Schizosaccharomyces pombe: one gene and its partners. The protein of the gene in region 3 binds, or shares a complex with, the protein of the main gene of each other region. Each region holds a gene or a part of one and is shown on either strand. Other genes may lie near its edges. The genes, in order: snf59, snf5 and snf30.

Region 1 (3,839 bases), on a different chromosome or scaffold from region 3:
TAAATTAAAGAAACCAATAGCAACTAGCCTAAATCCACTTGATCGAAAATATGATAGCTCAGCAATGCAATTAATAATTTTTAATATAAAGTCATGAAACAGATCTGTTGACACCTCGTAATTTTGTATAATAACTTAACCTTGCTTCTTTCCTTAGATTTCTTGTCCTCATGACTTTAGAATTGTAAAAAGAAGCACCCTGAGCAAGCGTCAAAATATCCTTACCTTGAAATGGTGAGGGTGAATTTTGATTATCCATACTTTTTAGCTCAAGCTTTACAGAGGAAGAACGAGTGCTTCCATTAGCCATGACATCCATATGATAATACTCATCGTCAGCCCAGCTAATGTTTTTTTCAATAAGAGCTTTATGACTCTCTGGATCTATCGTTCCCTTCATCAATATTCTAGCACCGAATGCCAAAAACATTTGTCTAGCTGGAACAATGCTTAGTTGTCGAAATCTAAAATTAGATGCCAACAAACCCATTTCAACCATTTGGTCCCTCTCACTTTGTGTTGTAAGTACTTTTCGTAAAGATGGCGTCTTATGAAACATGAAGTAACTATCCTTAAAGCCGAGTAATCTTGAGCATTCTGTACCAAGCATATACAACACTTTGCCACGTCCTTCTAGGCAAAATGTTTTAGCTCGATATTCAAAACCATCCGCTAGTTTGCCATACGTGTCAATTACTTCACTTATGTATTTATCTTTGTCCTCAATCTTTTCTGTTATGGGGGTTACACTCGTGATTTGAGCAATGTCATCACTAATTTCCTTTTTACTTAATGCTTCATCAACTGGAGGTTCTTTGCATTTTGAAGGTGCGGTATCTTTTAGGCTGTTATTTGGATGAATCAACAAATTACCCTCCTGTTTTACTGCAGAATCAGATTTTGAAAGACTATTTTCTGAAAATTCATCACCCATTTTTTCGGGAATTTTGGAGTAAACAGGTTCTTCATTTTTTGAATCAACATGATGTATCGGTTCCTCCCTGATTGATTTAGTATTATGTTCAGACTCTTCATTTTTTGATTCAGTGTGATACTCAGGTTCATTATGCTCTGAATCAATGCGATGTATAGGTTCTTCAATTTTTGAATTAACGTGCAGCTCAGGTTTTTCAATTTTCGAATCATCACACTGTTTAGGTCCTTCGTTTCTAAAATCACCAGAAGGTTTGGGTTCTTCAATTTTAAAATTTTTCTGATTTTCAGATTCATCCATATTTGAATTATCAAGATTTGTAGATTCTTTATTTGAACTATCATGATGTTTAGGTTCTTCCGACATGTTTAAATCATCAAGATTTGTAGATTCTTTATTTGAATTATCATGATGTTTAGGTTCTTCCAACATATTTGAATCATCAAGATTTGTAGATTCTTTTTTTGAATTATCATGATGTTCAGGTTCTTCCAACATGTTTAAATCATCAAGATTTGTAGATTCTTTATTTGAATTATCATGATATTTAGGTTCTTCCAACATGTTTAAATCATCAAGATTTGTAGATTCTTTATTTGAATTATCATGATGTTCAGGTTCTTCTATATTCACCCTATTCGACTCACCAGATTCTTCTTTATTTAAGTCATCAGAATGTTCAAGTGTGATATCTTCTTCTTCCATAAGAAAAGTTGGTGTCAAACGAAAATGTTACGAATATCAATTCCAAAACCAAGCGTGATTTTATAGACTTGTACCTAATTTCACAGTCTTTTACCTTAACGAGTGTCAATAAATATTTTAAACAATGTGCGGTGGTAGGGTCGCAGCGTGGAACAGGCGTAGCAGAAAAACTGAAATTCGACGTTACTCTACGATTTTAATAAAACCGAAAACCTTTGTTAAAATTTCATAAGCTGAACACTTTTGCAAAATTATTTACTTTTGCTTGGCGTTTCCAAATTCAAATAAACACTCTAAAAGTAATAAGATCAGAAGCTGCTTGCTTCCACACAAAGTAATTTGAAAGGAAGTTATGTATGCCATTTGAACTTTTATCTGCTTTTAATGTAAAGTTCCAATTCAAACAATAGTCTGGTGGGTCATAATTTTAGGTGGGAGTTATAAATTCAGTTGAAATAACATTTAATTGTTTCAACTTTATCATTTATTACTTAAAAAAATAAAATTAGCTAATAAATATTACAAACATATTTATAACTTGTACGTTAGATTAAGTAGTGGACTGGAAACCAAAAAATTAACCTTAAAAGGTATATTTTTTCTTAATCTTTAATGAAATTTAAATAACTGCGTTTTGTTTTAAAGAAAAAACCTTCAAATACTCAGTTTTGTCTGCAATTTTGCTCTATTTACAAATATTACGAGACCCAGTCTGTTCTCGGTGTGTGAAATATGAGAAGTTTTTATCCTGCGTTAAAATAATAACGTGTAGTGTTGTGTTGTGAATGCCGTAAGTGATAGTAGCTTTTCCAGGGTCTAAAACTTTTCTAGTAAAGCAATCTTCAGTGTTCTGAAGATTTACAGGATGAGCACTGTTTCAGGATTGAAGAGGCCTCAAAGCTCCGAGAAGAATCACAGAGATAGAGTATTTGTTCGTGCAACCAGGGGGAAGGTTCAAAAAGTTGTTCGTGAGCAATATTTACGAAATGATATACCCTGTCAAAGTCGGGCTTGCCCTCTTTGCCGTTCTAAACTTCCAAAGGACTCGAGGGGAAATGGTAAGTATTAAAGGAATCCCACATGAGTAATTTGCATTGGTCTGGAATTAGTTGGTATAATTTTCTGTGAAGTTAATTTCTGAGAGCTATTGAAACTAATTCATTTACTATTCAATTTCATTTTTTTTTAATGTGAAGCAAAATTTAATTAACTCTTACGATAGTGTTAGAGCCTATTTTATCAGAGAAGCCCATGTTCTTGGAGAAATTTGGGCATCATTATTTAATCCCTGATTCCAATATATTTTACCATTGTATTGATGCCTTAGAACATCCAAATAATTTTTTCGATGTCATTATTCTGCAAACGGTTTTTTCAGAAATTTCTTCAAAATCTATTCCTCTATACAATAGAATGAAACGCCTTTGCCAAGAGAAAACTAAAAGATTTACCCCTTTTAGTAATGAATTTTTTGTTGATACGTTCGTTGAAAGATTGGATGATGAATCTGCTAATGACCGTAATGATCGTGCAATTCGCAACGCGGCTAGTTGGTTTGCCAGTCATTTGGCCAGCTTAGGTATTAAGATTGTTTTATTAACCGATGATCGCGAAAATGCTCGCTTGGCTGCTGAACAAGGTATTCAAGTCTCTACATTGAAAGACTACGTTCAGTACCTGCCCGACTCTGAAATTTTACTGGATATGGTGTCGGCCATTGCGGACGCCATTGCTTCTAAAGAGCAGGTAGAGTCTGGAACAAAAAACGTATATGAACTACATTGGTCTATGTCTAGGCTGTTAGCTTGTATAAAAAATGGGGAAGTGCATAAAGGACTTATCAATATTAGTACTTATAATTATTTAGAAGGTTCTGTTGTTGTTCCTGGTTACAACAAGCCCGTGCTAGTTTCAGGAAGAGAAAATTTAAATCGTGCTGTGCAAGGTGATATCGTTTGCATTCAAATATTACCTCAAGATCAATGGAAAACGGAAGCTGAAGAGATAGCTGATGATGATGAAGACGTTGTTGTGAGTACTGCAGCAGAACCCGATTCGGCCAGAATAAATGACTTGGAACTGATTACGAAAAGAAATGCTCATCCAACCGCTAAGGTGGTTGGTATTTTAAAAAGGAATTGGCGCCCATACGTTGGCCATGTTGATAATGCTACTATTGCCCAGTCAAAAGGCGGTTCTC
Region 2 (3,600 bases), 330 kb from region 3:
AAAATATTATAATTTCCAAAAACTGAAATGAAGGCTGTAAAGTAATTTGATTCATCGGTTACCCGTACATACTTTAAATTTAGCCACATGACTGAACATTAAGGATTAATAAGCCTTTGAATAATATACAGTGTATTTCCTCAAATTTAATAAATTAATCGTATTGAGGATAGAGTGCCTCATTTGTAACAGAAGCTATCAACTGAAAGAAACTGGTCCGTCGAGCTATCCATAACGTGAGTCAAATCTTGATTATGGTCTTTGATAAAGATTCTTCCAAAATTGTATTAAGTATTTCTATCCAAAACCGTATTCATTCTCACCTCCTTTTTTTGTTGATGCGAGCTTGACAACAAGTGGATATGGAAATTGCCAAACGTGAATCCTGGGCCGGCTGTAAAATACTCATTAATGCAATCATGACAACATATTCTCACAGTCATCCTTTCAGCAGGATTTAAAGCAGGTTTTACGATAACATTAAATCGATCATTCGGAAATTTTGCAAATGTCTCTATAACACATCGTTTAACCCAGGAAGGGGTAAAATCAGGTAAATTTAACTTTTGCATATGAACCAAAGCGGATTCAGAAGAATTGCTGTTAGTAAGAAACGCGTCAGAAGAAAGGCTAGGAGACGAAAATTGTGGTAATGGCGAAATATTTTGCCCATATGTAGAAGGTGTGTTCCTTTCACTTTCAAATTCGTTTAGTGAGTCAAAACTCATGGAATTGGGCAAGGGAGTGAGTTTCCGTTGTTGGAAGTTATTGAGGGTTAAGGTTTGTGATTGTTCAACGATTATTTTTAGTTTCTGAGAGTCAACTTTTAGACGCACAATTAAATGTTCTCTTTCAGGATTATTAGTATTAATTTCGTTAAGTGTCTCGCCATCAGAATTTGTAGATAAACTTAAAGCATGCATAAAGTCATCATCCGAGGGGACCGATGAACTGGGGAAGAGACTTCGATGTATTTTAGGAATGTCCCGAAGATCTGGTAACATAATCCCGTGTTTTGCCCTTCCTTGTCTACGCCGCATACGACGTGCTTCCCTATCATAACCTCTATCCTGCCGTTCCATTTCAGCATCGTTTAGCTCGTAAATCATTGGGGCAAAGGAGGAGGATTCCATGTCAGAGAACCGTAGTGTGTTTTTAAGAGGAGGTAAAATGTAAGAGCGAACTTCCTCGTCTTCGATTTCACTTCCGTCAAACAAATATCCTATAAGGCTTAAATATTTTATGTACATTTGGCACTGCTCACGAATTGAGTGAGCTACAGCTGTACAAAATTCTCCTGACAATCCTAGATCTAAGCACATCACAGTAGCAAATTCCTCAGCGCTGCTTTCAGGAGCAAACAAATTCCATTCAAATTGGTCAATAAGATTCAGCCGACCAATGGTAATATCAAGCTTGATCAATATCCTCAAATCGTTTTGTACAGTTGGAATTTGTTGCTTGGAAGCTTTAGCCAACGAATCTGACGGTTCGTGCGCATAAACAGTCTCTGAGGTAGACGAACTAACATCTGAAACAAAACTTAAATTAGACTGAGCCTTACGCGGCTCATAGTCATTTATTTGAGCTTGAATACTCTTTGAAATATTTTGAACAATATGTACATTATGCAGTGGAATATCATAATCAATGCAGATCTGTTCAGCAAATTGATCTAATGAAATACACTTGTCGTACAAATTCCACGTAAAGGAGTCTCTTAATTTGTAGCGATCAGCATCTATTTCAAGTCTAATAGGCACCAAATCAACCGGAAGTTTAGATTGGGCTAAATTACTTCTTCGACTGAAAGGGAAAGTAAATCGACCCTTAACCCTTCTTTTTTGCGATGGAAATAGTATTTTGGGTTTCAAAGCGGTCCACCCATTCCCAAATCCAGCATAACCTAGTCCATATCGGGTAATTGCGCTTTCAGGATGTGTTTTCAAAGATGTCTGTAAATTTCTTGCACTTTGGAAGGGTTTTCGAGTATTTTCTTCAATAATACTTCCTTTGTTTTTGTTAGAATTATTTAACAAATAATTTTGATCTGCTAGAAGACAGTGCTGCAAATCTGCATTCATTAGGCTTTGGGGGGAGTGAAAACCGCAGCTAACAATAGTCATAGCGTAGTGAGTGCTACAAACTTGCAACTCGGCTACAGCAGAGCCTATATCCTTATCCATAGATTTAAAAAAAAAGTAAAGATTCGTTTAAGTGCAAATGTTATTAGAAAGAATATCATATATCGGTGTCATTCTTGATCAATATAGCCATTTACAAGCAGCTGATACGTTTTATTAATTGATTCGAAAATACAGTAAATAACCCAAACCACTTTTAAAGTACGGGTGAATAAATGCTAAGCGAATAATGAGATATAGGCCCGACCTATTTATTAAATTTTGGTACTACTGGTTTTGCAGACCTCCAACTAACAGCTTTTGGATTTACTGATTCAACAAGTAGGTTCATAGGACGTGAAGCAGAAAACGAAAGAAAGCCAAAATTGTGAATGACCAGTTCACCACTAGATGTAGGATCGAACACGTTTTCCGATAATTGTGTCGGTTTAATACTTACGGTAAAAGAAGAATGCATCGGCGACGGAGAGTGAGTTACTAAAGGAACATTATCATTTTTCGTAGAATTTTCAAGTGATTGTAATTTTGTTATAGAGGTAATATGAGCGGGAAGTTTTGTAAATAACTTAATCAAAAGAGGTTTCATATTATTGGTATTGCCTTTTGTTTTCTTATTTTTTAAAGTCGAGAACAAAAAGTGTATCGTGGTGCTCGAAGGATCTTCCTTTTTAAACATAATTGGCTTTCCAACTTCATGATTTCCATCTTCATTTATTTCAAAAGGCGTAACACGAACTAGTCCACCTAAAATAATAGACTGACCGAAACGAACACGATACTGAACAGGCTTACTTGTGAGTTGCTTATTTCTAGACCTTGTTTTAGGTACGAGACTTGTCAATAGCTTAGTATCAACCCAGGGTAATAAAGATTTCAAGTTACCACGGTATCCAGGAGTATCAAAAATTAAGCCTTCAGATAATTGCTTAAAACAGGAACCGAAATATTGTGTAGGATACCCTTTTATTGCTTGAGTGGTTCCTGGTAAAAAACTGTCAAGCAAAAGCTCATTAAAAACACCATTTCCCCGTTTAGCCAAAGTTTTTAGCAATGTAGATTTTCCAGAATTTGCTTCGCCTACGACATATACATGACCTCGCGAACATAGCAAGGGATTTATCCTTCCCAAGAGCTTATCAACTAGGTTGAAAGAATGCGATGTGTAAAGCATAGCATACTTTGAAGAAATTCCTAACCCAGGAAACAACCAGTATGGCTTTTTTGGAGGTAATACATCCGCATGCGTAAATAAATGGAAAACTGGGAAATGAGTGTATTGAGTAGCTGAAACAAAATCTTGAAATATAACTTCAGTAACATCTATAACCTGTATTATCAAACAAGTACTTTTATCATTATTCACCGTACTAATGATATCTGGTAGAGTAGTCTGGGGTTCTTGTAACAACTCCTTTGGACGTATGCGAGAATGAAATTTTAAATCATGACATCTTTG
Region 3 (3,839 bases):
TAATTCATCGCCATTAGCGGCCTCGTCTACAAAATCCCTTCCATCGTCAGAACTTCTCGATTCCAGTTCAGACAAGGGACAACAAGTTTTTAAGGGTCAACATGAGGTCGCTGGTACCAATTCTTTTGAAGATCCTAATTCTCATTTCAATGTATCTAATAGTTCTAATCATGAGGAGGCTAGTCCTAAAAAAGAAGTTTTAAAATCTCCTCAATTTCAAAGGCGTTCACTAGACATACTACGGCTTGGTGAACTTTCTTCAGATGATATGATGCTTGATAAAGCTACTATGGATGAATTTTCTTCAAGCCTGGTGATCAAGTCAATTTTTACAGGCCGTTTAACGAGCGTTGTGATGTGCCAAAGTTGTAATGAAATTACTAACACTCCTGAACCTATTCAAGATTTATCCATACCTATTCATTACCCGTCTAGCCGCGTAAGTCGTCGTCATCGATTCCATCGTGCTCTCCGTTCACGATTTAGTCGTTCACCAAAAAAATCGTCTGTAAAGATAGTTGTTGACAATGCTAACGACGACACTGATCAAGCCCCGACTACTAATTCCTCTTCGTTAAATGAAAATTTACTTGGTGGGCATGCTAGTGAAAATGACAAGAGTTTGAAACAGTCTCCATTTCAAAAACTGACTCGAAGATTAAGTGATCTCTCTGTCAATTCTAGCGGGCAAATTTCGAAACAAGATTTTGATAATAGTAATTCAATTTTCTCAGAATCTTCACTATCAAGCCCAATAATAGAGGAGCCTAAGACACTTATTGATTGTCTCAAAAACTTTACTCATGTTGAGGAGTTAAGTGGTGAAAACATGTTTGCCTGCGAGAATTGCTGTAATCAACCTAACGAAGTTGGCTCTCCAGCTAAGGGAGGATTGACGTCGGATAACGATAAATATTCGTTTAATAACAGTGTTTATAGAAATGCTTACAAGCGGATGTTATTAGATGACCCTTTACCTCCTGTTTTTATTATCCATTTGAAGCGTTTTTTCCAGGAGATTTCCCACGATGGTTACGCCAATCCCAAAAAAATTTCCGATTTCATTGAGTTTGAACAAGAATTAGATTTAAACGAGTTCGTTATGCCACACCTACGTGCTTCAAGTAGTTTTAGATATCGACTTTTCGGGGTCATTGTGCACAGTGGCACCCTGAATTATGGTCATTATGTTGCTTACGTATTGTCTCATAAATTCTTAGACCTCAGTGCCCCTTCTACGAATTCTAAGGATTTCCGTTCTGAAGCTGGCATACCCGAGAGACGATGGCTTTACATTAGTGACAATATTGTACGCGAATCATCCTGGGACGAGGTTTCAAAAGTCGAAGCGTATATGCTATTCTATGAACGTGTTTAGACTTCTATTGCTTTAAATCCTCATTTTAGCTTAACAATATTTTTCAATACCCCTGGTTTTTATCTTTAAAATGCAAAGTATTCATTTTGAAATTTACGATTGGCCCAAAATGACTTATTCAACTCAATCTATCTTCACCTTAATCGAATTTCAAAATTACTTTGTCATTTCACCTCATAACTAGATACTGAATTTTGGACGAAACCATAATTATTCAAACACATTCTTTTGATGTACCTCAATTAAAAAAATACCATTTTACTTAATTAAGCAAATGGGATAATTTATTTTACGTTATCAATAGTCTATATAATTGCAAATTTATAGAAAAATCTAAATTTACTTATTTTTTATACGCTAATAGTGTTGTTATTGAATTGTATAAATATTATCTCTGTTAATGAAGCGTGCAAATCAGCTTTAGTCTCTAAATAATTATTATTTATTTATTCTATTGCATATATTTGAAAAGTTATCAACAATCTTATTCAGTCGAATTTGAATGTTCCGTAAAATAAGAAATTTATTTGCCCGAGGTTAGAGGTGCTTAAACTATACACCTGACTTGTCATTATTGGAATATAGTCGCTATTGAATTGTTATAGTGTTGTTACATTCACGTTTATTACCATATAGCATTTAAAGGTTGTTTTATACTTTTTAACGACAGTATTCATCAGAGACTCTAAAATTCGCATTTGTAAAAAAATATATATATATATTACCATTACTCCTAGTTAATGGGTTTTAAACACAAGAAGTTACAACAAATTTTTTAAAAAAACTGGTTATTTAAGTTATATCTCCTTTTTAAGTTAACTACGTTTGTAATAATGAGCTTTGTTTCGAAAAGTCCACCGATAGTAAACTCCGCGAGCCCAACCGGACAGGTTAATCCAATGGAAGTTGAAAAGGCGAACAAATTATTAGAAATTAATCGTTTGATTTTATGGAAATGCTTAGAACTTCAGCATATTAAGACGGCGCAAAATTCGACATTGGAGCAACGGGCTTTATCTACTGAACTTTTCAACAGGTAAGTGATTGAAATGTTTTGCTTACGTGCACACTTAGCTGCGGAAGGATATTCATTGTGTGTATCCATTTTCGGCTCCTCAAATTGCGCTTCGCACTGTCTCTCTTTTATTACATTATATTTTTTTCGTTGTTACTAATTCATTTACTAGTTATATACAACGTCTCAAAGCTAATCTAGCTTTTGTAGTATCAATTGCTTCACCCCGTCAAATGCAAGTTTTAACTCCGCCACTTTCGTGTCCTGAAAGTCTACCTCAACTCGAGCCGTTATACAAAGAACTCCGGCAATATTTTCAAATCGCTCAGACATCTACACTATCGTATCCTCCTTCAAATGGGGATTCGTCTTCGTATGCAAATGGCACAGACTTACATGGAAATACAGGGACTATGCAGCAAGAAGAGAAAGCCAATCCATCATTAACTCGTTCAGATTCTGTTTCCTCGGGCTCTTATATTACAATGCAGGGAGCCAATAGTCTGAAGGCCCAACAAGACTTATTGAACTCGTTTACTGGTGCTCCTTCAAACAATTCTCATAACATACCCGATCCTAATCTATCTCAAACATTTTCAGCAACTTCTATGGGACCTCCCAACAATAACTACTCAAAGTTCCGAACGGATAACTACTTAGCGAGGTCCTCAAATCGCTCGGGAACGCCCAACATTCAAAATGAGCAATCTCGTTTTTTTGATTCACAACAAGCTCAAGTTCAGGCTCGAGCATTGATGCAAAGATATCAACAGGGGATGGAATTTAACAAATAGTGGTGTTTTTGAAGTTTATGATATAGAAAAGCTATGTCCTGTAATTTTATGTTTTAATTGATCATTTATCTAAACGTAAGACTTGCAATGTAGCGGACGCCTTACATGTAATTTTTATGCAACTAGTAAATTTTGACCACTAAGATCTAAATTTGTTTAGGAAATTAGGAATGGGTAGCACAACATTACTAAAATTTCAATTGCGAAAACCAAATCAATAAATTTATCTAAAACGACGATATGTTTACAATTTTACTATAGCACAAGCAAATGAATGCCATACAAAAATTTTTGGCGGAAATTACAACAGATGTGTAAAGCAATTTTAAAGTGGTGTCGCTTAATTACCTTTTGAATCTAAAACGCTATTGAAACTTGAATTTTTTGATGCCATAATTTAACTAAATTGACCAAGTTTAGAGATTAAAAAGCCAATAATGATAACTCTGAAAGTTTCCAGTATAATATAAAACAAAAATGGATAACGAGAACCTAAATAATCTTTGAACTTGAGTCGTTATCCTCTAAACAAGCTCAACCTTTTTTAAAAAAAGAAAGCATTATTGTATAACAATAAGTGAATTGATAATTCCTTTTTAAAACATTAATGGAATTTGCTCTAACGACCTACTCAATCCTTTGACTTTTTGGA

The links.
Region 1: snf30 (region 3) and snf59 share a complex: the UniProt entries of both Schizosaccharomyces pombe proteins name them as parts of the SWI/SNF global transcription activator complex.
Region 2: snf30 (region 3) and snf5 share a complex: the UniProt entries of both Schizosaccharomyces pombe proteins name them as parts of the SWI/SNF global transcription activator complex.

What each region holds. Positions count from the first base shown.
Region 1 is NC_003423.3:3,968,465-3,972,303, forward strand, and holds the start of snf59 (SWI/SNF complex subunit Snf59), read right to left. Parts: upstream 2,281-3,839; 5' UTR 1,640-2,280; coding exon 92-1,639; 3' UTR 1-91. Other genes in the region: 3'-5' exoribonuclease subunit Dis3, read left to right, coding at 2,505-2,697, 2,862-3,839. UniProt on the Schizosaccharomyces pombe protein: Component of the SWI/SNF complex, an ATP-dependent chromatin remodeling complex, which is required for the positive and negative regulation of gene expression of a large number of genes.
Region 2 is NC_003424.3:546,377-549,976, forward strand, and holds snf5 (SWI/SNF complex subunit Snf5), read right to left. Parts: upstream 2,094-3,600; 5' UTR 2,085-2,093; coding exon 288-2,084; downstream 1-287. Other genes in the region: gep3 (GTPase-like protein), read right to left, coding at 2,392-3,600. UniProt on the Schizosaccharomyces pombe protein: Component of the SWI/SNF complex, an ATP-dependent chromatin remodeling complex, required for the positive and negative regulation of gene expression of a large number of genes.
Region 3 is NC_003424.3:878,562-882,400, reverse strand, and holds snf30 (SWI/SNF complex subunit Snf30), read left to right. Parts: upstream 1-1,932; 5' UTR 1,933-2,211; coding exon 2,212-2,414; exon of another isoform or gene 2,415-2,565; coding exon 2,566-3,187; 3' UTR 3,188-3,254; downstream 3,255-3,839. Other genes in the region: ubiquitin hydrolase Ubp7, read left to right, coding at 1-1,378; U3 snoRNP protein Nop58, read right to left, coding at 3,819-3,839. UniProt on the Schizosaccharomyces pombe protein: Component of the SWI/SNF complex, an ATP-dependent chromatin remodeling complex, required for the positive and negative regulation of gene expression of a large number of genes.